Linked DNA regions of Caenorhabditis elegans. The protein of the gene in region 1 interacts with the protein of each later gene in a pairwise test. Each region holds a gene or a part of one and is shown in the gene's direction. Other genes may lie near its edges. The genes, in order: rps-15, F56B3.2, bcf-1 and Y57A10A.24.

Region 1 (2,867 bases):
TGGCACCTCGAAACTCGATATCCGCATTTGGCCATAATCCAATTCCAGTTGCGAGAGCATCTCCCATTGCAGCAATGATTGTTATATCTTCAGGAGATATGTTTCCAACATTCGTTCCAGTCAAAAGTTCAGTTTTGATACGAGGACAGGAGAATGTCTTTCTGAAAAAAGCTTCATTTTTATCAATATATTAGTAAAAATAAACCTGTCATTGAATGCAGAGTTGATTACACCAGCCACTGGTTGATGTTTTTCAGGTTTGATGGCGGTCAGAGATTTGAGATGTTGATGATCCACACTGTCTCTTTCTCTGAAATAATAATTGTTTTTGTCATTTTTCATAGAGTTCCAGGAAGACCATCACTCGACCTCATTCAAAAAGCGTTTAATTGGAAGAAACTAATATGGAAAAGAAGATTAAAAAATTAAGTAACTCAACAAAAATAAATAGGATAGTTTGAAATTGGGAGAAGCAGACCATGCGGTTTTAGCATTCTAATTTCAAAAATTGAAAACCCTTCTTCATCTTCGTGTGATGACGTAGCAGTGTCGAAAAATTTGTCATAATCGGCTGATTTTCCCCACATTTTTATAAGTCTGAACTGTCCAAATTTTGTAAATCGCAAGAAGCCGGTGAGAAAAAATGATTTTAAATTAAATGGTCACACCTTTCTTCACTTATATCACTTGAATCATCATCTTCTGAAACTTCTGTACTGTCATTTCCACGCCTTTTTTGTTCTTCTGGAGTTATTTTATCGTCATCACTGCTTCTTCGGCTCGCATAATCGGTCAAATTTTGCGAATTATCCTCATAATCCACCATAAACTTTCCCTCGTCATGGAACTCCCCGCGTAGAATTTTCTGGTCTACATTGGGAACCACAGATCCATGTGCAAAATAAAATAGAAGTAGTAGAAGTAGGTTTAATCGCATTCTGAAAAAATTAAAGTGAAGACAAAATAGTGCTTGCGATAAGGCTAAAGAAGAAGATATTTAAAAGGTAGAATCGTCAAAAGGAGAGAATATAGATCTCCAAACTCTATTATGCTTTATTTGCAGTTCGAAATTGAAAACAATGCTTAAAAAACAAAATTAAATCGACAAGAATTTCAAATAACTAATTATTGTCGAATAAATTCTGGTCGAAACTTCATTTTATGAAAATAATTTGTATTCAGCAGTTGAATACATTTTTTATTTTGAGAATAACATTATTTAAATTAAATTACGAAGCTCCAAAACTTTTTTTTTCACCAATTTCCGTTTATCAGGCCCGAAAAATTGATAAAAATATAAGAATTGCAACCGCGCTCCACCGAATTCTGGCGAACAGCCAACCTGCGCTGAGTAGCGACTCAACAATGATGAACGATACGGAGCTTCGGTTGTCAGTAGAATTTTTACAAAATTTTCCGTTTTTCGCGATTTTTTTCACGGTTTTTCTGGTTTTTTGGTGTTAATACCTGTTTTTAATATAGAAATACTAATTTTTCTTTTCCTACTGTAGAGAAATATGTGAAACTAATGGAAAAATTATCGTAAAAATGTATAAAATGGAAGTTGCATTAATTCAGATTTTATTTAATTAAATTTTACGATATGTAAGTCAGTGCTCTTTTTGATAATTCATGACGAGTTTTCTTCACTTCTCTTCCATATGTTTATTTACTTTCTTTTCAATATCCATATATTGCAACAAAAAAAGTAATCGATTTTTCAGGGTTAAACATGGCTACTCAAGATGATGCCCATCTCGCTGAGCTGAAGAAGAAGAGAACTTTCCGCAAGTTCATGTACAGAGGAGTTGACTTGGACCAACTTTTGGACATGTCCCGGTAATTTTTTAAAACAATATTTTGCCGGCAATGTCTGGTTTTTGGTCATCTCCAAGAACAATTATTTATTTCCAGTGAACAATTCACCAAGCTTCTCCCCTGCCGCATGCGCAGACGTCTCGATCGCGGACTCAAGAGAAAGCACTTGGCTCTCATCGCTAAGGTCCAAAAGGCCAAGAAGGCTGCTGGTGTTCTCGAGAAGCCAGCCACCGTTAAGACCCATCTCCGAGACATGATCATCCTTCCAGAGCTCGTTGGTGGAGTCATCGGAATCTACAACGGAAAGGTTTTCAACCAGGTGAGTCGATTACAATAAATGCGAAAACATTATGATTATTATTATTTTGTTACAGACCGAAATCAAGCCAGAGATGATCGGATTCTATCTCGGAGAGTTCGCTATCTCCTACAAGCCTGTCAAGCACGGAAGACCAGGTATTGGAGCTACCCACTCTTCCCGATTCATCCCACTCAAGTAAAGTTATTTGTTGAACAATAAACTTGTTTCTAAAGTTGATCAAATTATGTTGCTGTCTTTTATACACGGTTGAATAACATCAATTCGAAGAAACGTGATGATTTTATATTAGAATGTGTCGAAATGTCCGCGCGAGTTGAAAGGGTCAGTTGAATATTGGATGCGAATGCCTTTACGGAAGCCCGCACTATCACAAAAATAACCACCCAAATTTTTTGAATTTCTTTTGTATTCCTAATAAAAGTAAACGAATATCGAGAACTTGCTGGCCCTGGATGTCATCGACCAATCTGAATACCGTGATTACCATTCTTCTACACAGCAATACGCTGCTTTTAATGAACAGAATAGTCCGAACACAGAATTGCAATAAAAGGCCATAATTTTAGAAAACGGCTTCTCATTTTTTCTCATCAACATTAAGTGAAAAAATGGATAGATTTTGTTCTTATTTCTCCGAAAGGTATCAAAAATGTTCGACTTGGTGGCAATAAGTTTCCTCGTCACATACTTCGCTGTCTCCCACTTGATTTCGTGTTTGTTATAATTG
Region 2 (6,860 bases), on another chromosome or scaffold:
ACTTGAATATTGTCTTTTTTCCCAGCTTTTTCCGAGGAGTGCCCTCATGTTATTTTGTAGTCTTATCTGTGATTTTTGGAATGTGAAAAAAATTTATTTTTTTTCAAGAATTTAATTTTAATTTTTTTTTCAGCATTTTTGGTTAAAAATTTTCTTCCAAAATTTACAAATTCAGTGCGAAACGATCAATTTTCCATACAAAAATATTGGAGGCATGAAAAAACTAAATTTGAATGCGCGCGAAAAAAGTGTTCAATGGAGCGCGTTTACTCGTCGAGCATTTCGGGAACGATAATTTGAAGTCTGTCATTTTTCACTGTAAAAAATGCACAAAATCCAAATATCCCAATTTTTACTGAAAAAGTACTAAAAATCTTGATTTTTCACTGAAAAAATCCCCAAAAATCCCAATTTTCACTCAAAAAAAATCGAAAAATCTCATTTTTTCGCTTAAAATCAGCAGAAAAATCGAAAATTTCATTAGAAAAATGCCTTAAATTCCAAATTTCCCAACCTAAAATCCAATTTTATCATTAAAAAAAAGCCATTTTCTGACTTTATAATACAAAAAAGTCAAAAAAAAATCCTAATTTTCCCCCCGTTTTTCACTTTAAAACACATTAATTTCTGGTTTTTTGCCTCAAAAAATGCCAAAAATCTCAATTTTTCACTCAAAAGTTCCGAAATTTCATTAGAAAAATGCCAAAAGTCTAAATTTTCCAACCTAAAATCTAACTTTTTCACTTAAAAAAGCCTAAATTTCAAACTTTCTAACACAAAAAATTCTAATTTTTCACTCAAAAAATGCCAAAAATCCCAATTTTCACTTTAAACCCTCCAAAAACCCCCCATTTTTCACTGTAAAAAACCTAAATTTTCAACGTTTTAACTCAAAAAGTGCCAAAAATGCAAAATTTTCACTGAAAAAAGTGCAAAAAAGCTCATTTTTCCACCCAAAAATCCCAATTTTCCCCCTAACACCTCTCCAAAACCCTCATTTTTTCCAGATTTGATCTCCCAGAAGACTCAAAACGACTAACATCAGAAGACGCGATGGCTTCACGTGCTGAAAGATTCGGAATCACTCCAAAAACGCCTGCCACAGATGATAAGCTGGCCGCCCGTGCCGCCCGTTTTGGAATTCCAGTTGGTGGAGCAGCTTCAGCTTCAAAAAATGCTCCAAATTCTGAGGTAAAAGCTGCAAAATTGGATATACAGATGCAGAAAAGGAACTGATCGGAGCATTGTATTTGCAAGATGAATCTGACCTTTTTTCAACTTTTTTTTTTGGTTTTTTCGAGAAAGTGGAAGAATTTTCATTTTTAACTTTATTTTATCCTTTCTGAAAAAGAAATGAAAAATTTGATTTTAATCTGAACGAGTTATTATTCCACGTGTTCAAAAAAAAAACGAACAAAAAAAAAGAAAAAAAAGTGGCGCGGTCTTGCCGATGCACAGTCATCTCTCAAAAGTTCAAAAGTATCTTAACCCTCTCAAAAAAAATTATTGCGCATCCTTGATTTGAAGTGAACACGCCGATCCAAAGGGCATTGTCAAGTTGAGCGCTATTTTTGACAAATATCTAGAGAACCGAAAACAGGGACGACTTTGCAGATATTGATGTAAGAATTCCAAATATGAATTTATTATTTGTTCAAAAATCATTGAAATTTTTCAAACTGAAAAAGGGCGCGGTTTCAGTTGAGATCAAGAAGCAAACAGTTACAGTTGTTACAATTACGTCATTTTAGTTGTTTAAATGATTCACTCATTACATCAAATCTTGTATGTTACAATATATCTACATATATCTCTCTCATCCTCCCTCTTTATTCATGTCATCATCTCAAACTGTCATCCGTCTCCAGTGTTCAATCGATATTTCTCGCTTTCCCCTTATACGGATCCTTGCTGCGCTTCTCCTTTCTCTCTACTTTCTCCTTCTAATGTAGGCCAATTGTCGCCAAAGACCCAAGTTCGCGAGTGAAGACATAGTAGAAGAGGCCAAAAATATGTTACCAATTCGAAATTTTATTCATTTTTCTGGTTTAATACTACTGATGTTTTATCTGGTAGATGCGCAGTTTTCTCCTTGTAATGGTAAGGTTTTTTTTGTGATTTTTTCTGTAGGAATTTTAGTTTTACACTCCAACAATTTTAAGATTTCTTTAAAAATTCAAAAACTTTAGCCCAAGTTTCCGTAAATTGCCAAATTTTTTCGAATCTTGATTATAAACATTTGGAATACAATTAAAGTATGAAAAGTCGTAAAAATTAATTTTGTTAGATTTTCAAAATATTGATAGGCTATAACCAAATTTAGCCCCTTTTTGGTTGGAAATTAAACGTTTTAAAATTAAAAAAAAACAAACATCTTTAATTTTCAGGAAAATCCGCTCTCAACGGAGTCTGCGATATAAATGGAGATTGTGAGAATAAAGGATCGATTTGTTTGAGAGGAAAATGCAGGTAAATTAGTTGTTTTGAAATACATTTTATGATAAGGTAAGATTAAAAATAAACTTTATTATTTTAGATGCCACCCTCACTACACGGAAACTAGAGATGAGAAGGGGCGTCTTCCAAAATGTGCACCACGTGAGTTTTAGATATGAGAAAATAATGAAAAAAAAAACAATTTTTCTCTGATTTTTTTGCCTGCCTAAATGTAACAAATATGAATGTAAAAATTATGAAAATTTTCTGAATTAAAGAAAATTTTTTTTTTCAATTTGGCACAACAAAATAGCAGCAAATTTTGGCAATTTTGAGTTTTCGGGCTTTTTTCAAAAGGTTTTTGATTTGAAACTAAATTTGTCAAACTTTTACGACATTTTTTCATGTTTAAATGCAAATTGCGGAGTTGAAATTTCCGGCAAATCGGCAACTGCCGAAAATTTCCGGCAAATTGTGGTTTTGCACATTTTTTTTTGGAAGCTTCAGAATTTCAGTTTTAATCGACAAAATTGTACTCTTTCTATGAGTGTTTCTACATCAATTTTGAAAATTAAGCAAATTCTATGAAAATATCTAGAAAAAACGGCAAAAAATTTCAAAAAGGCACAGTTCCAAATGTTTCCGTCTTATGAAAATCCCTCTAAAAAGTTCCAAAATTGATTATTCGGCAAACCGCAAATCGGCAATTTGCCAAATTTGCCGACAAAAAAAGTGCCGAATGGCAATTGCCGCCCACCTCTTTAATGAAACGTTTAAATTGATTTTTTTTAAATTTTATATCAATTTCAGAGTCTCAGCAAGTTTTTTTTCGTGTTATTTTTTCGAATTATTAATCCTGAAATAAGCCTGAAAACCAACCGGAATGCGCGAAAATATAAAATCTAGATTATTAATTTGCGCGGGAATTCAAACATAAAAATTGAAAAAAAATTGTTAAAATATTTAGAAAAATCGTATAGATTGTTTTCTATCATTTTGGCCACTTTAAACCTTACACTGATTGAAAAATAATGAATATTTATTACAAACATGACCAAACAATTCTTCCAGTACCCGCAAAAATCGGAGCCCGTTGCTCCTCCAAATGCCGCGAGCCCCTTTTCTGCCGTAACGGTGAATGCCAGTGTGTGCAACGTGGAACAACACGAGTGTCAAATGGAGAATGCATTACAACTTCTCGAGTCGGAGATCGTTGTTCCAGACATTATGATTGTACTTCTCCATTCTCAGCATGTGTCAATTCGCAATGCGTCTGCATCACTGGAACTATTCAAATGGTATAATTTATTTAAATTCTAATAAGTTATTTGAATTCAAATGAAATATTTTTCAGGGCTCTCGATGCGTAGCTGCTGCCAATTGTCCATTCGGAAAGCTTCCAGGACAGAGCTGTGTTCGAAAATCCGATCCATCACTCGCCTTTAACATTCCTTCAAATCAAGACAATTGTCCAATGGGTCAAGTTTGTATTACTGCTGGGGAGAGTCAAGTTGGTTGGTTTTTAACAGTACTTAATTAGTATTCTCTGTAGTTTGTAGTCACTGAGAAAAAAATAAATTTTTGCGAAAATTCAAGTTTTATGTATCCGAAAAACTATCTTGGCGGAAAATCGAATTCATTATTTTTTGAACTTAGGTGGGAGCTTAAATGCTTTTTCGAAAAGATTTCTCGCAAATTTCTGGTTTGAAATTCAGATTTTTCGAGAAGTTTTGGCAATAAAATTAATAAAATGCCTTAATTTTTTGGTGAGAATTCCAATTCAAACTTTTTAAATTTTGATTTTTCTACATTTTAAGCGAAAAATTGAAATTATTTTTAAAAGAATAAAGAGGTATGCAATTCAATTTTCTTCTGTTTTTGGCCGAATCATTTTTTAAACTTTTATAATTTATTTGGCAAGATATTCAAATCTGAATTGTTTGAAAATTTTTGGCACCAATTCAAACTTTAAATCTTAAATAAGTTTTGACAGGAAATTCTATTTTCTGTTTAACTAAAAAATTTGACTGGAATTTTAAATATTAACTTTTGAGAAATTTTTTCGAAAAATTAAAATTCTAAATGTTCCAACAAAAAAATAGTAGGGAATTTATAACTTTCCATTTTTTTCCCACTTTTCGGCGGAATTTCAAATGTTTTAATAAAAACAAAAAACACAACTTTTCAGGGCACTGCTGCCCCGTGATCTGCCCATTAAACACTACCACGGACACCAGATATTCTTGTGATCCAGATGCAGCTCCAGCTCTCAAATGCCCATCTGATTCCCATTACTGTTACTTTTTGTCAGGTAATTTCAATAAAATCCAAAATTTTATTTGCAATGCAAATTCAGACGGAAGTTTCTCCCAAGCCGCTTGCTGCCGTCGTCCATGCAATGCGATGGCTCCAAATGCTCTCTACGTCGACTATCACTGTATGCCACGTGGGCAACTCAACTCAGCGTGCACATCGAATGCTCAATGTGGTGGTGGAGAGGGAATGGAATGCATGAAGGGACAGTGTCAATGTCAACAAAATTTCCACCCAGCAGTTGATGTGCTCACGAATCCATTGAAAAATCCATCTCAATCGTGTTCGAGGGACTGTGAGAGTGAGAATTTGTCAAAGGACACAAGTTGTATGAAGGTAAGGGAGATGGGGCAAATAGGCGGTAGGTTTGTAAGCAGGTAGGCAGGCGGTATTTTGTAGGAACTTTTCTTAATTTTTGACTTTGTATCGCACCTTCATTGTTCAACTTTGACAACTTATATCTCGGTTGTCGGTTGTTCTATTCAAAAATATCCAATTAACACGTTGTATGCGGTTGTCCCATCGCGGTTTGATCTGCAAAAAATGCGCGAATTTTTTCCCCAGAAAAATGTGACGTTAGCACGTTCTTAACCATGCAAAATCAATCGAGAAGTCTACGTCTACATTACCGCTTTTTTTGTAGATAAAACCGAGATGGGACATTCTGAAACCACGTGAGTTAACAAAATATTTATAAGTGTTTTTTATCCTTCGGCACAATTAAAATGAAAAAAATATATATTTCAGGTTCAATTAAAATTCGAAATTACCTTTTTGAACTAGCCAAACAACAAATAATTTTCAAGCTTTAGCTATATATTTTTCAGGCTGTACCGCTCAATTCCCTCTGCTTCATTCAAAAGCAATGTCCACAAAATTCGGGATGCTACCGTGGAAGATGCATGTGCCGTTGTGGGTTTGCAGCGAAAAATGGAAAATGCGTTGAGATTCCAGCCCCACCAACGACGACTTCAGCACCAGCACGTGAGTTTTTAAGTTTTTTCTTCAGGCGGTTCAGATAGTTATGAAACTAAAGAACTCTACATATTTTCTGAAAACAAAATGAATTGAGAATAAATTTTTCTGAAAAGTTTCGACTGAAAAATAAACGATTTTATGATGTTTGTAATTACCGAAAATTGAAATTCCACGACTTCTGCCTCAAAAAGACGGTACCCGGTCTCGCCGCGATAAATTTCTGTTAAATGAAAAATCCTTAAAGGTACATACCCTTTTGCAGTTATTGAAAGACCGGGTGCTATGTTTTTGAGGCAAATATTGTGAAACTTACGAATAGTTTGAGGTTTTTTTCAGAGTTGAATTTCTTCCAAAAAATCTGACCACATATGAGATTTTTGAAACGTTTAAAAATTCCAATTTTTCCAGCCGCCATAATCCCCGGAGTGCCCATCAATCCTGGAAACGACCTGTTCAAACTTTTCGGACAATTCCTCGGAGCTGGAAATGGAGGTGGCGGACTCAATTTTGGATAATTTCTCTTCCCGCAATCTCATTGTCTTTATTTTTTACTACGAGGTATTGAATTGTTTTTTAATTTTTTAATTATAAAATTTTTCAAAATGAAGATTTTTTCCCCAAAAAACTCAAACATCAAATTAGCTGCCCATTTCTATCTCTTTTCCTTCGAAAAAGTTATGCCCTATGCCATCTATCTAGTCAACAAAATCAAGTCAACCCGGTAGAACCGTTAAGACAAAACTATCTAGAGAGAGACTGTGAGTGAGTGAGAGAATCAGAGAAATGGAAGATGTTTTGGTTGGGCGAAGAAGAGGACAAGGACGTTCGGGAAAAAACGTAACGGAAAAATTGAGAATTCTGTAACGAGACGCAGACGGTTAATTTCGGTTTTCGGACTGTTTTTCGGTCAGGAAAACGGAAAAATTGGAAAACGGAGAGAGAACTGTCCTTGAAACCGTTTTCAAATGCCTAGTAAGAATTCAGTATAAAAGGAACTCGAGCGACGGAATTCGTCAGTCGGTACAGCAATGTCCGCTTCAATCAAATTTGCCACCGGGGCAGCAGTGCTGTCCGGTGTGACTATTCTTGCTTGTCTTTTCTTTGCCGCCCAGGTCTTCAATGACGTCAACTCT
Region 3 (7,731 bases), on another chromosome or scaffold:
GAAACAAAAAATTTTTGGGAAAAAACTTTCAACTACAAACTTGTTCTTTACAACAATATCAACAACTTATCAGTTGATGACTTTTCTGTAAAAAAATTATCCGCGGAGATATGATCTACCAAAGTGAATTTGGAAAATTGGCCCTCCAATGCTTCGTTAAAGTGCTATTTTAGGATCATTGAGAGCCCGCCGTGAGCTTGGTTCTGGAGTTTTGCAGCTAAAAATTCACGAGTAACCGTTTTAAGACATGGGCTATCGAATGGCGTAGATCTCATATGCAAGTCCAATGGGTACCTTCTGACGGTTCACTAGTAAGAACTTTAAAAGTTTCCCAAAATAATTTCATATTCAAATTTTTTTACAATTTATATAAAAATATGATAGAAAAAAAAAGACAAAAGACACACACACACAAATACATAGAATATGAAAATCACATTTTTTTTCCTTGATTTCAAAAGTTATGTTATTTAAAACTTGCTCCTTGCTGCGTTTGGTTATATTGGCACCATCTTTTTAAAAATACTTATTAGACAGCCCAAGTAAAAGTGCTCCAAAAGGTGTGTTTTGTACATTTGACAAATTTGTGCTTGAAATTTTAATTCAATTATCATTCGACTCAGACATGGTCTTGAAACCCTTACTCTATTTTTATATGAGTGTGTTTAATATAACTTTCTAAAGAGTTCTGAGGTGTATGTTTTCCCAGAGCATAAAGGTGTCAGATATGATATAAAATATCTACGAAGGAGTATCTGAACAGTTAAAAAAATTTCAAATTATAAGGTTTATAGGTTTTTAATTAAAATGACTATTCCAGGACTGAATTTTGATTTATTGATACATATTGGAATTTCTTTGATTTGGTTTTCAAACTGCCATGTTTTATGATCAGTTTCGATAACAACCAGACGAGTGAAATGAGGCAAAAAGTAAATTCAAAAATGAGTAGTGTAGTTTACCGCGGAGTTTTCAGCAGGATATAATTAATGTTGGTGGATATTCAAATGTGTAATATTGCAATTTAAAATGTTGAGTTTAGATTATAAGTCATCTCCGAATCTATTTTTTTTTCTCAAAAAACTACACTCCAAACCGCCAGAATGAAATCCGCTAGTGACTCATTTTCAGGCTTATCTTCGTTCCATTTTTCAATATTTCACAACTAGCGTGATTTTGATAAAAAATAATGCAAACCACAGTAAAGTAAAAATTTTATTTGGTTAACCAAATGACGAATTGACAGTTAGATAGCTGAAACTAGATTACAGCTATAAATCGGATGACTAAGTATTTGGGTTTGCCAACGCTTCACATACACCCAAAATTCCTGCTCCAACTACTTTTTTGAAGCTCATTTTCTTTTTCTCATTGTTTCTCTTGCAGCAGAAATCACTAATTTCGTATCCTGCTTCACAGGTTTCGCCTCCAAGGTTCTGAGACTCCACCCACTTCGTGCTCTTATCAAGAGAGGGCAACTACCGTATAACAAGGACCGATTGGCGACCAAGAACCAATTTTGACTGTTCATTATAAGAGCCTCATTCTATTTAATTTACATCTCGCCAGGTCGCACTTCACTTCTTCTCTCTACTCGAAGAAGCCCTACTGATTTTTTTCTCAAATTTTATTTCTGAGAGCCTTCCTTGCTTTACTGTGTTTTTTAAGGATCTTACTATTCACTAACACATTCAAATTTCAGATGCGCTTGGGCATTTTCCTGCTGGCACTTGCCGGCTGTTGTAGTTTCGCTAGTGCTAAACAAAACTGCTTAGTCGGAAATCTAATTGTATCGGAAAATGTTATTACATCAAAGTCTGTTGAATTGGTACGTCCATCTAATATACATACATTCTATATATTTACTTTAACTGTTTCAGAGAGAATGCGAAGGATTGTGCAGAAAACAAACTGTCAAATCTCCAAGCGGAGGACTTGTTCTCTTGACATGCGAAGAGAACAAGCTTATGGCTTTCATTAACAAAGGACAGGATTGCTCCAGCAGTGAGCTTGAGACATCATGCTTCTGCGAGGATGAGTTGTGTAACAAGGTCGACTTGGAAGAAAATATTCCAAAGCCAATCGAAGTTATTAATGCCCCAAAGTGAGTTTTGTTATCACTGTTATTTTTGACAACTGATAGGAATTGAGGTTTGCATAAGTCTCTGATAGTAACTTTTGATAAACGACTATTTTTGATAACAGCTGCGAAAGAGAAAAACTGATGCAAAATCAGATTAATTTTTTGACCAATTGAAACTTTTTTTAATATTTCGAAATTTTGAATATTAGAGAAACTAAAAACACACGTCGAAATTTCTCCCGTAGATTTGTTTTTAACTTTAGCGATTGGTTTTGAGCAATTTTTTTCCAAATTTTAAAACATTTTCAAGTTTGTACGATTCAAATGTTTAACGTTTATATGAAATCCATCGTTTTTAGATCAAAAATATGTGTAGCCTTAAATTTTTTAAACTCCTTCCGGAAATCGCACTAACTTCTTACTATATAATATTATTTTTTTAGTATGACTTTTCAGCGATATAGTCTAAAATTGAACTTTTTCACTGTACTTTCTTTTACTATACTTTGTCCTAGTTCAATTCCTGACCACAAACTGTTACGTGTGTAAATTTGCCAGTCAACGTCAAACTGATAACAATAATGGAATAATTGGTTTACATTTGGGCGCGCTTCTTATCTGACTGTGCCAATAACGCACGCAACACAACCATAAAACGTGGCTAGTTAGCTCCTCGGCATTGAAATTCGGAAATATTTTAACCAATTGTGTGATAAGAGATTGATAGTACATTTTTACCAATTACCAAAAAACTTCCCTGAAGGAAGATCAAAGAAGATAAGTGAAGATAAATTGAATGTATTAATTGCAGCAACATCCTCTGCTACGTCGGATTCTATGCCAACAACACTACTCCAGGATTCGGATCAGGAGACACCGTCACTTGCTCCCCAGGAAATGTATGTACCAGTGTTTCTGGAGTCTACAACGGATATGACGCTGCTGCCTACGCTTGCATGCCACAAGGACTTTGCGACAGCATCTTCCCAAATATTGACCCAAATAATCCAATCGCCTGCACCAATCTCGCTGGAACCAACATTCAAGGATGCTGCTGTTACAAGCAAGATTGTACTAGCCTCGCTCCAATGAACAACCCACCAACTCCATCTCCATGGAACAAGAACAACCAGACATGCTATCAAGGAATTTCCGTCAACGGAGCTCTCTTGTACGGAGGATCTTTCTCTCAATGCTTGGGAGAATGCGGATCTGCTCGTATTCGTACCACTTACAATGGAGCCAATGTATGGGGAGAGATCTTCGTTTGTGACCCAGTCAACGTCTTCACTGCTTTGAACCTCGACAACGGATGCATGAACCTTGACACCCAAAACATCAATGGAGTCCCAACCGCTCTCATCACCGGCTGTGCCTGCAACAGCATGGACAAATGTATTGACCCAACTGTTGTTCCACCAGTCTACCCAGTCAAGCAGCTCAGATGCGCTGTCGGACTTTACAATGGAACAACCTGGCTCGGAGCTGAAATGAACTGCCAAGGACGATGTGGACGTGTCAGGTTCAATGCCAACGGACAACAAGTTTCATACTTCACTTGCATGCCATACGATGTCTGCGCTGGATTCGGACTTGCTTCCACTGAAGGACAAACCTACAATCCACCACAAGACGAGGAACTTGAGGTGTACTGCTGCTCTGCTAGCAACAACTGCAACGTTAACAATCCATACATTCTCGGACGTGTGAATAACTCTGCTGTGTCTACCGCCAAGTATCCAGTTCTCTGCTACGGAGGAATCTGGGTTAACGGAGTTTCCATCACCAACTCTGCTTACGGACTCTGCCAAGGAGAGTGTGCTTCAGCTAGCTTCACCACCACCTTCGCCAACCAAGTTCACAATGCTACCATCTACACTTGCGATCCAGTCACAATGTGCCAACAAGCCGGAATCTCCAACTCTTGCGGAAGCGTTCTTGGAGGAGTCAATGCTTGCTGTTGCGACAATGATCTTTGCATTGATCCAAACAGAGGATCTCAACGCCCACAACTTCGTTGCTATTCTGGAGTTTCTATTCCACAAGACAAATACAACACTGGAGGAGACCAATTCTGTGATGGATGGTGCGGATCCTTGAACTCTGTTGTCAACGGAAAGAACGCAACTGTCTACTACTGCGCCCCAGTTGGAATGTGCCGCTACTTCGGACTCGGATTCGGAGGATCTTACGGAAACTGTGGACAAATCCCAGGAGCTGACCCACAAGTCACTGGATGCTGCTGCTCAGAAACTGACAACTGTCTTGCCCCAGCTGGAGTCAACGTCACTGCCATCCCAGCTCGTCGTGACCCAAGAATTGTCTGCTACGAAGGAATCCATCTCAACGGACAAAACATCAGCCAGCCTTACTACCGCATGTGCGACGGAGAATGTGTGTCTGTTTCCCTTGGAGGAACCGTCAATAACAACTCTCACTACGCTACTCTCTACACCTGCGATCCAAGCAGTGCCTGTGCCGCGATGGGACTTCGTAACAACTGCTCCACCATTGACAACTCTCTCACTGCTTGCTGCTGTGACTCCAATGAGTGTATTGATCCAACCTACAACCGTGTTCCAGGAAAAGCTCTCAAATGCTACGTCGGTATCAGCACCCAGCACAAGGGAAACATCGCAGGAGCTGAAGTTCTTTGCGACGGATATTGTGCCACCGTTTCCGCTGTTGTCGGATCCGACTATGTCACCGCCTTCCATTGCGCTCCAAGATCTATGTGCCGTTCCCTTGGACTTGACAACTCGAACAACACTTTCTACTTGGACAGATTCGTCAACGCGTACTGCTGTGATGTCTTCGACAACTGCAACGTTGCTACGTCTGGATTCAACGTCACCATTCCACCACTTGCACCAAATGAGATGCCACGCGCTTGCTATTCTGGAATTTTCATTGGAGGAAGCCAAATCTCTGACGGAGGATGGACTGCTTGCAAGGGAGATTGTGTTGCTGTCAACTTGAACACCACATACAACGGAGTTGCTACCACTGCTTCTCTTTACACGTGTGACCCATCTTACATCTGCAGAATGATGAACTCAACAAACAGATGCCACCAACAAGAACAAGGATTCGAGACTTGCTGCTGTGACAGCGATGCTTGCCTCGATCCAACATCCACCCCACCACGTAAACCATATGGAGATGGAAACCTCTGTTACGTCGGAGCTTACTCCTATGATTTGAAGGGAAATACCATCTTCAATGCCGGAGGAGAACAATACTGCGAAGGAAACTGCGCATCTGTTACTTCAACACTTGCCAACGCTAACGTCACTGTTTACGCTTGTGTCCCAGCATACGTCTGTAACAGCTTGTACGTCTATGACAGCTGCCGCACACTCTGGTATGATAGAGATATCACTGGATGTTGTTGTACCAATGGACCTAACTGCAACTTGAATCAAGTTGTTCCAAGACCTCCAATCAACAATCCCGGAAGAAGACGTCCACGTGTTGAATATCCAATCACCTGCCCAGCTGGTCTTATCGTTGACGGATTCAACCAAACTCCAATGGAATTCTCCGTTTGCTTCGGTGAATGTGCCTCTGTCAGCATCAATGCTACGATCAACGGAACTTTGCACACGGCTTCCTTCTACACTTGTGATCCATCGTCTGTCTGCTACCAACTTAAAGTTCATAACAACTGTACTTCCCCAGAAGCTGGAGTAACCGCTTGCTGCTGCGACAGTGATGCTTGCCTCGACCCGAACAGAGGAAAGACCGTTCCAACTCCACCACTCAAGTGCTACGTTGGACTTTACTCTACCAGCGTGCCATCACTTCAAACCGGAGCTGAACAACTCTGCGACGGAAAGTGCGCTTCTGTTAGCGCTCGCATTGCCAATGACAACGTGACCCTCTTCGCTTGTGTTCCACACTCTCTATGCCGTTCCCTCGAGCTCTACGATTCCTGCGCCCGCATGGAGCCATACTACCCAGAATTCCGAGCTTGCTGCTGTGACAATGCTGATAACTGCAACGTTCAACAGACCCATCTTGCCAATGTGATCAACACCACCATCCCACTCACTCCACTCAATGATGCTCCAATATCTTGCTACTCCGGACTTTTCATCAACGGAACCGCTTACAGCTCAGCTGGATGGCAGGTTTGCCAAGGAGAGTGTGTCTCAGTATCAATCACATCTCAATTCAATGGACAAGCCGGAACCGCTGCTCTTTACACCTGCGATCCATCCCGCGTTTGCCGTAATTTGAACATTCTGAACAAGTGCTCCAGTCTTGAGAACGGAATTACCGGATGCTGCTGTAACACCAATGCCTGTATTGATCCAACAGTCTATCCAGCTCGTAACCCAGGAAACCAACTTATGTGCTATGCTGGTATCAGCTCGAACTACATTGTTAATGGAAGCGCAGTTAACGTTGGAGCTCAAATTCCATGTAACGGACAATGCTCATCCCTCTCAGGAGTTGTCGGTGGATTCCAAGTCAACACCTATCACTGCATGCCAAACTCGATCTGTAACTCCCTTGAACTCTACGACAACTGCAAACCAGTTTGGAATGACAACCAAGTCACTGGATGCTGCTGTAACAATGCCAACAACTGTAACATTGCCAATACCACCATCACTCCACCACCACCACCAACTTCAGTCGACTATGCTATTGCTTGCTACACTGGACTTTATGTCAACGGTGTTCCATCTACTCCAGTCATTCTCGGAGCTTGCCAGGGACAATGTGCGTCCATCTCATTGAACACTACACTCAACGGAGTTGCCACCACAGCAACTCTTTACGGATGCGACCCAAGCACTGTTTGCCAATCTCTCAACATGAACAACTGGTGTGCCTCCCCAATCCCAGGAGTCTCCGGATGCTGCTGTAACACTGATCTCTGCCTTGATCCACCAAAGAACAAGACTGTACCATCTGGATTCCGCAAGTGCTTCGCTGGAATCTACGCTCAAGGAAAGGCCACTGGATCTGAAATCTTCTGCCCAGGAAAGTGCGCCTCAATTCAAGCTACCCTCAACCAAGACCCAGTTGCTATCTTCGGATGCGTGCCAACCCAATTCTGCAGACAACTCGAGATGTACGACGAGTGCAAACCACTTCCATATGATACCACAGTTACGGGATGCTGCTGCGACAACTACAACAACTGCAACGTCGATTTGGCTGGATATGGTGGAAAGATCAATACTTCAATGCCAGTTACGAACTTCCGTGATTATCCAATCGCTTGCTTCTCTGGTCTTTACGTCAATAACATGCCAATTTCCATCGCTGGTTGGCAAGCATGTAAGGGAGAATGCGCTTCTGCTACTCTCTCAACCATGTACAATGGAGCTCTCACCAACGCTACAATTTACACTTGCGATCCAGTCAGCACATGCTATCAACTTGGAATGAACAACAATTGTACTACCATTGAGAATGGACTTTCCGGATGCTGCTGTTCTACCGATGCTTGCCTCGACCCAACTGTTTCTCCACCACGTACTCCTAACCCACTCAAGTGCTACGTTGGTCTACAATCTACCTACAATTCGTTGAGCCTCGGAGCTGAGACCTATTGTTCCGGACAATGCGCTTCATTGACTGGAATCGTCGGAGGTTTCAATGTCACTACTTATCACTGTGTTGCTGATACT
Region 4 (6,883 bases), on another chromosome or scaffold:
TTGTATTCGTTTAAAAATTTGTGAAAAAATTGAAAATTGGTTTTAAAAAATTTGAAGTTTAAATATTTCAAGTCCAGAAAATCCAATGCGAGAAAAAACCTCAAAATTTTTTTAAAAATTCCAAAAATTATATAAAAAATTATTTTAAAGCTTTCAAAAATTCAATAAAAATTCCAAACAAATTCCACTAATCTGAAAAAAGGATAAAATCTATTGGGGTCCTAAGCCTAAGTTTGAGCCTAAGTCTAAGTGTAAGGCTACGACTAAGCCTAAGCCCAAGCTGTAGCTTACGTCTAAGCCTAATTTTTAAATGTTTCAATTTCGAATTTTCAAATTTTCCAGCTCTCAAGAAGACCTTCCAACAATCCAACGCCAAGAAAGCCTTCAAAAAGCTCTCAGAGCACTTTGTAATGGTTAACACCGAAGACGACGACGAGCCATTCGAGGAGGAGTACCGTCCAGACGGAAAGTACATTCCACGTCTGCTTTTCCTCGACAAAAATGGAGATCTTCTTCAAGAATTCAAAAATAAGAAGGCCGAATACAAAAATTACGCGTATTACTACTCATCACCAGCTGATATCCTTAACTCTATGAAGGATGTGCTTAAACATTTTGGAGTTGACATTCCAGAGGCTAAGAGAGGTGATAAGCTTAAGCCAAAGAAGCCAGAGGGAAAGAAGAAGGAATTGTAAGAATAGAGATTGTTTTATTGATTTATTGATTGATTTTCAGCTAATTTATTTCTTATCATTTCTTTGCCAATCTTGTTAACTATTATTAATTATTATCACGAATAAACTGGTTCTCGATACGTCGGTTTTTACGAAAAATTTAAATTCGCGCCAAAAACCTTTTCGAAACCTCGAAAAAATTTTAAAAATCTTATGAAAATTGCATTTTGTGCCTGAAAATTTTTAGCCAATTTTTTAGAAAAAAAAAAAGTTTTAGGAAAATCTGTGACATTTTGAAAAATTCAGGAAAGTTTGAAATTCCAGCCAAAAAACTTTTGAAAACTAATTTTTTGAAAAAACTAATTTTTTGAAATTTTTGAATTTTGCATTCATTTGAAATTGACTTAGGCATAGGCTTAGGTCTAGGCTTAGGCTTAGTCTCAGGCTTAGGCTCAGGCCTACGCTTAGACGTAGGCTTAGGCTTTGGTTTAGGCTCAGGCTTTTTTCGGTGATTTTAGAAAATCTGAAAAGCTTTTTGAAGTTTAAATCTGAACAAAATTTTTTTTGTTTGAAAAAATTTATAATTTCATGAATTTTTGAATTTTGCTCTCGATAATTGTTTAATTTAAAAAAATTCAAAAAAAATTTGAATTTTGCCACAAAATAGGAGATTTAAAATACACCGCCCACATATTGGTTCAAATCTAAATCAAGGCTTTCATGGGAGGCAGGCGCGGTTTCAGGGCCTGACGCCTGTCTGCCCGCCTGCCTTCCGCCGCGGCCGACACTTTTCGGGTTCCGCACTATACAGAAGGCCCGAGGCAGGTGAAGGTCGCCGCAAGGTAGGCACACCAGGCCTTTTGGCGCCTACATGGAAGGATTAATCAAAACCAGTTTCCTAAGGGATTAAGAAACTTTCTCTCCTTCCCTATATTTGAGTAGTTATGTAAACATCCTCATATTCAGAATATGTCACGTCTCTTCTCCAATGTTCCGAATTATTTTCCTCTTATACATCGTCGGGTCATTTCTCTACCAGCAATATGAATTCGCAGTTTGAATTTCGAAATTTAGTTCTAAATTCCCAATTTCTTTGGATTTTTCTAATAAATCTTATCACCTCTGCCAATTCTGAAGCCCTAGCTTCTCCTTATCAGTATCTGAAGGATCTTTGCCCTGTTGGACAGCTTCCACTAACGGATACGGAGCACGTGAAGACGTGTGCAAGCTTATGTCCTCTTGGAGCATTTTGTCATAGGGGTATATGTTGTGTACCGCCACCGCAGTGCAGGCATCCGGCTTATAGGTGAGGAAATTTTTTTTTGAATTTTGTGTTAAACTTCGCAGATTATATATTGTTTTTTGAAAACAAATAATTTTATTTTACCGCCAAATTGTTTTTAAATGTTTTCAAATATTTAAAATTGGCGCCAATTTTTTTTGAAGTTTTTGGAATATTTAAGTTTGGCGCCAAAATTGTTTTGCAATTTTTAAATAATTTAATTTGACGTCACAATGTTTTAAAATTTTTAAAATATTTAAATCTGGCGCCACTTTTTAAAATTTTTTTTAAATATTTAAAATTGGCGCCAAATTTGTTTTGCAAGTTTTTAAATATTTAAATTTGGCGCCAACTTTTTTTGTTGATATTTTTGAATTATTTAAAATTGGCGCAAAAATTGTTCTGAAATTTTTTTAATATTTAAAATTGGCGCTAAATTTTTTTTGCAATTTCTAAAAAATTAAATTTAGCACCATTTTTTGAAATTTCTTTTAATATTTAAATTGGGCGCCAATTATTTTTGTTGATATTTTTGAAATATCTAAATTTGGCGAAAATTGAAATTTTAAAATTTCTGTCAAAATTATCAAAAAAAAAAATTATATCAAAAAAATTAAAACTTGAAGCTTGCCCCAACTATTTTAAAGATTCAAAAACTGAAAGTCGCGCCAAAGTTGCTAAAAATCTGAAATTTTGAATTTCGCGCCAAAAATATTTGAACTCAAACTTCAGGATGTCTACCGGCTTTCCATGTCTTCCAAAACGTAAGAATAACTGCCCAGATGGATCATTTTGTGTATCAAGTAGTCAGGATGGAATGTCGATATGCTGCTCAAACAGGAGCATTGAAAAGTTGGTGATTTTAAGCTCCGCCCACTTCTTGGTTTTCTGGGAGAAGAAGACCATTCTAAAATAAAAACTATAACTACAAATAAAATAAATCCATATTTTTACAGAAGTTTCCCGATAACATCACAATTAAAACTCTCCAAATCTGCACCGTTCCCAAAGGAAAAGCCGATGCAAAAATCCACGTCATCACTGATGACGTCACTAGACTCCTCCCAAATCTGTCCGAAATCCCATCCAATTATTGCACATGATGGGAAATCTCTGGTTTTGTGCAAGGATTGTGTTCAGGGGTTAGTTTTGGACTGCGTTTTAAAAATTAAAAAATTTATTTTTAAACGAAAATGTTACCTAAACTCGAAATTTACAATTTTTGCACCAAAAAACTGGAGAAAAATTTTTAGTGCCCAAAAAAATTATTTTTGAACATTTCAAATTTTTTTAGATTTTTCAGAAAGTTCACATAATATTGAAGATTTTGATTTTGTAAATTTGAACAAAAGCATAAAACTGTTTGTATCACAAATTAAATTTTTTTAACATTTGAACATTTTGGGTCCCACCACGATAAGTTTCAGAACCGATATTTTCCTGGAAACTGTTATAGAAAAAAAGTAAAAATTCAGATTTATTTCGGGGTACCCCGAATTCAAACAAAATATCATAATATGAAAAAAATTTTTAAATCAAACGTTAAATAATATTTCGAATTTTTGGGTCCCACCACAAAAGCTTTTTTGCCGAAAATTTTGTGAAAAAAATTGGCAAAATTGTATGTATGATGCTTTAAATTTAACATTTCAACTAATTTAAAAAAATTAAATTCGAAAATTTTTTTTTCAAATTCTATATTTTCAGAGTTTGCGCAAAATTCCGCACCAGTAACGTAGAGGTATGCTGTCAAAGTTCTGACGATATTTGTGGTGTTGGAAGTCAAATTTTGATGAATGGATTGGTGCCGAGGGACTGTAACAAGAAGCCATGTGGGATGGGGTAAGTGAATTTTACAGCTCAAGCCATGCTCTTAAAATAGCCAGGAGCTAATTTTTTTTGCTCGAAACTTTCCGAAAAACATCTAAAACTTGGAATCAATTTTTTGATTTTTTGAAAATTAAAGTTGAAATTTCACAAAAATTTTTAAACATTTTCAGAACTTCTAAACTAAAATTGCACCGCAAATTTCAAATTTCCAGCTACGAATGTTCGCTAACCCCGACGGGTCTTCGTGTATGTTGTTCGTTAGCCCAATGCCCGTCAGGAGTGTTTGCGAGAAGTGTGTGCGCAGCCGGATGTTTGAGAAATGAAAAGTGCATGGAAATTCAGAATGAGATGTGGTGTTGTCCATCCGAGGAATCATTCGGTTCAAGAATTGAGATGGTTTGTAGGAATGGGGAGAATGGGTAAGTTACTACATTGTACTGTAGTACTGTATACTGTATAGTGTACTGTTGGGGTACTGTAGCTCAGTTTCCGTTTGTCAAAAATTATCAAAAAATTTAATTCAGTGTTTATCATCCAGAAAATAGCCTTAATATACCGAGTATAACTGTAGAAAAATTTATGGAATTTCTCTAAATTTTTCTAAATTTTTAACGATTTTTTTTCAATTTTGCAAAAATATTTGATTTATAACACTAAAAACTATTCAAATGCCAGAAAATGGAGCCGTAATGACCAAATATATCTGGAAAATTTTTAAATAAATTTTCTAATTTTTTAAAATGATTTTTCGTCAATTTTTAAAAAATCTAAGAAACGGCCGAATTAAATTTGAATTCCCGCGCAAACCATATATTTCGGCCGTTTTTTAAATTGTTGAATAATTGAAAAATCATTTTAACAAATTCGAAATTTTTTTATTAGGTGCTTCTATTGAATTTTTCTACAGTTACATTCGGTATATTGAAACTATTTTATGTCATTTAGAGCAAAAAAAACTTCCAAAAATTTTATTTCCTCGAGTTTTTTTAAAATTTCAAATGTACTTGATTGTCTAGATTACTGTAGAAATGCTTATGACTCAATTACAAAAAAATCCCAGTATTGATTCTTATTCCAGAACCGGTGAAAAATGTGACCCAGCTTTTCCGGCGTGCTCACAAGGAGCATTTTGTGAGCTGAACAAGGAGAAGACCGCCCATATTTGCTGTAAGCGGTATAAAAATCGACGTGAGTATTTTATTGCTTAAACCTATAAAAACTAAAATTCAAGAAAAAAAAAAATTTCAGTCGGCAACAGCCGTAAAACCCTTCTACCCCCTCCATTCTACTACACTACAACTACTATGAAGGCTCCCATAACCATAGCCACAACTACTGCAGAACCATACCCTTTTGAATCTGTGTAGGTTGCTTAATTAAAGGCAAAGTAGCGCCAGAGGGGAAAGTGTTTAAAACTACTCCATTGGTGTCAAAATGATCGAATATCATTTTAAAAAATTTCAAAAAATTTTTGAAATTTTTTTATTTATTATCAAAAAGTGACAATTACTCAGTTTTTGCCACTCATAATTTTGGAAGTCAACCAAAAAAAAATTTTTTTCTACATTTTTTATACTGTAATTTTTTTTTAATTATTTGTATTAAAAAATTGTAGGGGTTGGAACATGCGAAATTGCTTTGGATTTCCTCAAAGGCTCATATTTTTCAAAATGTTTGCAATTTTCCAAAACTGACCGGGAATAATGAAAAATCTAAAAATTTTTGGACTGTTTGTTAATGATATTTGGTCATTTGAAATAATTTTAAGTGTATTTAGACACAATCCCCACTGGCGTTACTTTACTTTTAAACCATCAAAGGTATCTTAATCATATCTTAATATTTATTACAGTCCAAACTGCCAAGACCCTGAAGCCCGTCCACTCATGGAAAACGGCTTCCCATACATTTGTGATCATATCGGAGATCCGTGTATTCTTCGATCAGGATATTCGTGTCAAGAATCTGATATTGATGATGTCTATGTGTGTTGTACTATTCAAATGAACCGAATCCTTCCACCACAGATTCCAATGATTGGGCCATTTACGTTTATGACGTCATCAACTACTACAACTACTGAGAAGCCGATTGAAGAGGAAGAAGTGATTGCGCAGCCGACATGCCCATTTTCATATATGCCGTCGAAAAATGTTAATCAAGATGTGCAGCGTTGTCTATCACTGTTTACGTTGGAGTGAGTTCCAGAAAAATAAAAAATAAAAAATTTTTTTCGATTGTTTTTTGAAACTCTAAAAATCAGTATTATCTTATTATCTTTATCCAATTTTTTAAAATTTTTTTTTAAATCGGAATTAAAAAAATTCTAACATACATATATTGTTGAAAACGTTTAACGTTCAAAAATCGATATTTTAAAATAATTCCAGCTGCCCACTCGGCTACACGTGTCTACCATCTTCCACTACCGACAGTTATCTATGTTGTATTCGGAAGCCTGTGGTCTATTAGGCTTAATTATTGATTTTTGTTTTTTTTTTCGAATATTTGTGCCAATTCTATATTTTTTAAATATTTTTTTAGCTAATGAACATGTTTTCAAACAGTTTAATTTAAAAACAGCCTAATACAAAAACTTGGAAAACTAAGCCTAAGCCTAAGCCTAACCCTAAGCCTAAGCCTACACCTAAGACTACACCTAAGCCTAAGCCTAAGCCTATGCCCAAGTCTAAGACTAAGCCTAAGCCTAAGCCTAGGCCTAGGATAATGAGAGCATTTTCAGACTGCTCTATAAAGCCAAACAAAGATTTTGCAATAATTCATAACGCATTCGATTCACAATAACAAGTTCTTTAATAAAACTATAAAAATGTAAAAAGTTAGGAGTCAAATTTTTATTTATTTAACACTGAAAAATTGGAGTGTGTAGATAATGAGAGCATTTTCAGACTATGTTTTTTCAGAGCTGACGCCAAGCTTATGCCTAAGCCCAAGCCTACGCCTAAGCAAAAGCCATAATTCTGAAAATCTAAATTCAAATGTTAGCATCCAAGTCTGGGCTCAACGGTCCAAGCCTGAAAGCTTAAAAACCTAAAGCCTGAATATTTTTGCAAACATAAGTAAACTGAATTGAAGT

What was found.
Region 2: the proteins of rps-15 (region 1) and F56B3.2 interact in a two-hybrid assay, tested with the Caenorhabditis elegans proteins (one large-scale study listed by BioGRID).
Region 3: the proteins of rps-15 (region 1) and bcf-1 interact in a two-hybrid assay, tested with the Caenorhabditis elegans proteins (one large-scale study listed by BioGRID).
Region 4: the proteins of rps-15 (region 1) and Y57A10A.24 interact in a two-hybrid assay, tested with the Caenorhabditis elegans proteins (one large-scale study listed by BioGRID).

The regions. Positions count from the first base shown.
Region 1 is NC_003279.8:8,815,051-8,817,917, reverse strand, and holds rps-15 (Small ribosomal subunit protein uS19), read left to right. Parts: upstream 1-1,724; 5' UTR 1,725-1,732; coding exon 1,733-1,839; intron 1,840-1,914; coding exon 1,915-2,137; intron 2,138-2,192; coding exon 2,193-2,318; 3' UTR 2,319-2,346; downstream 2,347-2,867. Other genes in the region: F36A2.9 (Lipase_GDSL domain-containing protein), read right to left, coding at 1-161, 206-310, 669-937. UniProt on the Caenorhabditis elegans protein: Negatively regulates lifespan.
Region 2 is NC_003282.8:763,560-770,419, reverse strand, and holds F56B3.2 (EB domain-containing protein), read left to right. Parts: upstream 1-1,835; 5' UTR 1,836-2,012; coding exon 2,013-2,100; intron 2,101-2,387; coding exon 2,388-2,469; intron 2,470-2,536; coding exon 2,537-2,598; intron 2,599-3,507; coding exon 3,508-3,734; intron 3,735-3,790; coding exon 3,791-3,950; intron 3,951-4,624; coding exon 4,625-4,747; intron 4,748-4,792; coding exon 4,793-5,085; intron 5,086-5,576; coding exon 5,577-5,733; intron 5,734-6,135; coding exon 6,136-6,242; 3' UTR 6,243-6,359; downstream 6,360-6,860. Other genes in the region: col-103 (Nematode cuticle collagen N-terminal domain-containing protein), read left to right, coding at 6,756-6,860.
Region 3 is NC_003283.11:6,402,755-6,410,485, reverse strand, and holds the start of bcf-1 (bacterial colonization factor), read left to right. Parts: upstream 1-1,702; coding exon 1,703-1,828; intron 1,829-1,880; coding exon 1,881-2,104; intron 2,105-2,894; coding exon 2,895-7,731.
Region 4 is NC_003280.10:12,241,278-12,248,160, forward strand, and holds Y57A10A.24 (EB domain-containing protein), read left to right. Parts: upstream 1-1,668; 5' UTR 1,669-1,717; coding exon 1,718-1,980; intron 1,981-2,688; coding exon 2,689-2,808; intron 2,809-2,912; coding exon 2,913-3,098; intron 3,099-3,663; coding exon 3,664-3,798; intron 3,799-3,998; coding exon 3,999-4,205; intron 4,206-4,864; coding exon 4,865-4,974; intron 4,975-5,034; coding exon 5,035-5,149; intron 5,150-5,638; coding exon 5,639-5,983; intron 5,984-6,176; coding exon 6,177-6,258; 3' UTR 6,259-6,352; downstream 6,353-6,883. Other genes in the region: txdc-12.1 (Thioredoxin domain-containing protein), read left to right, coding at 343-695.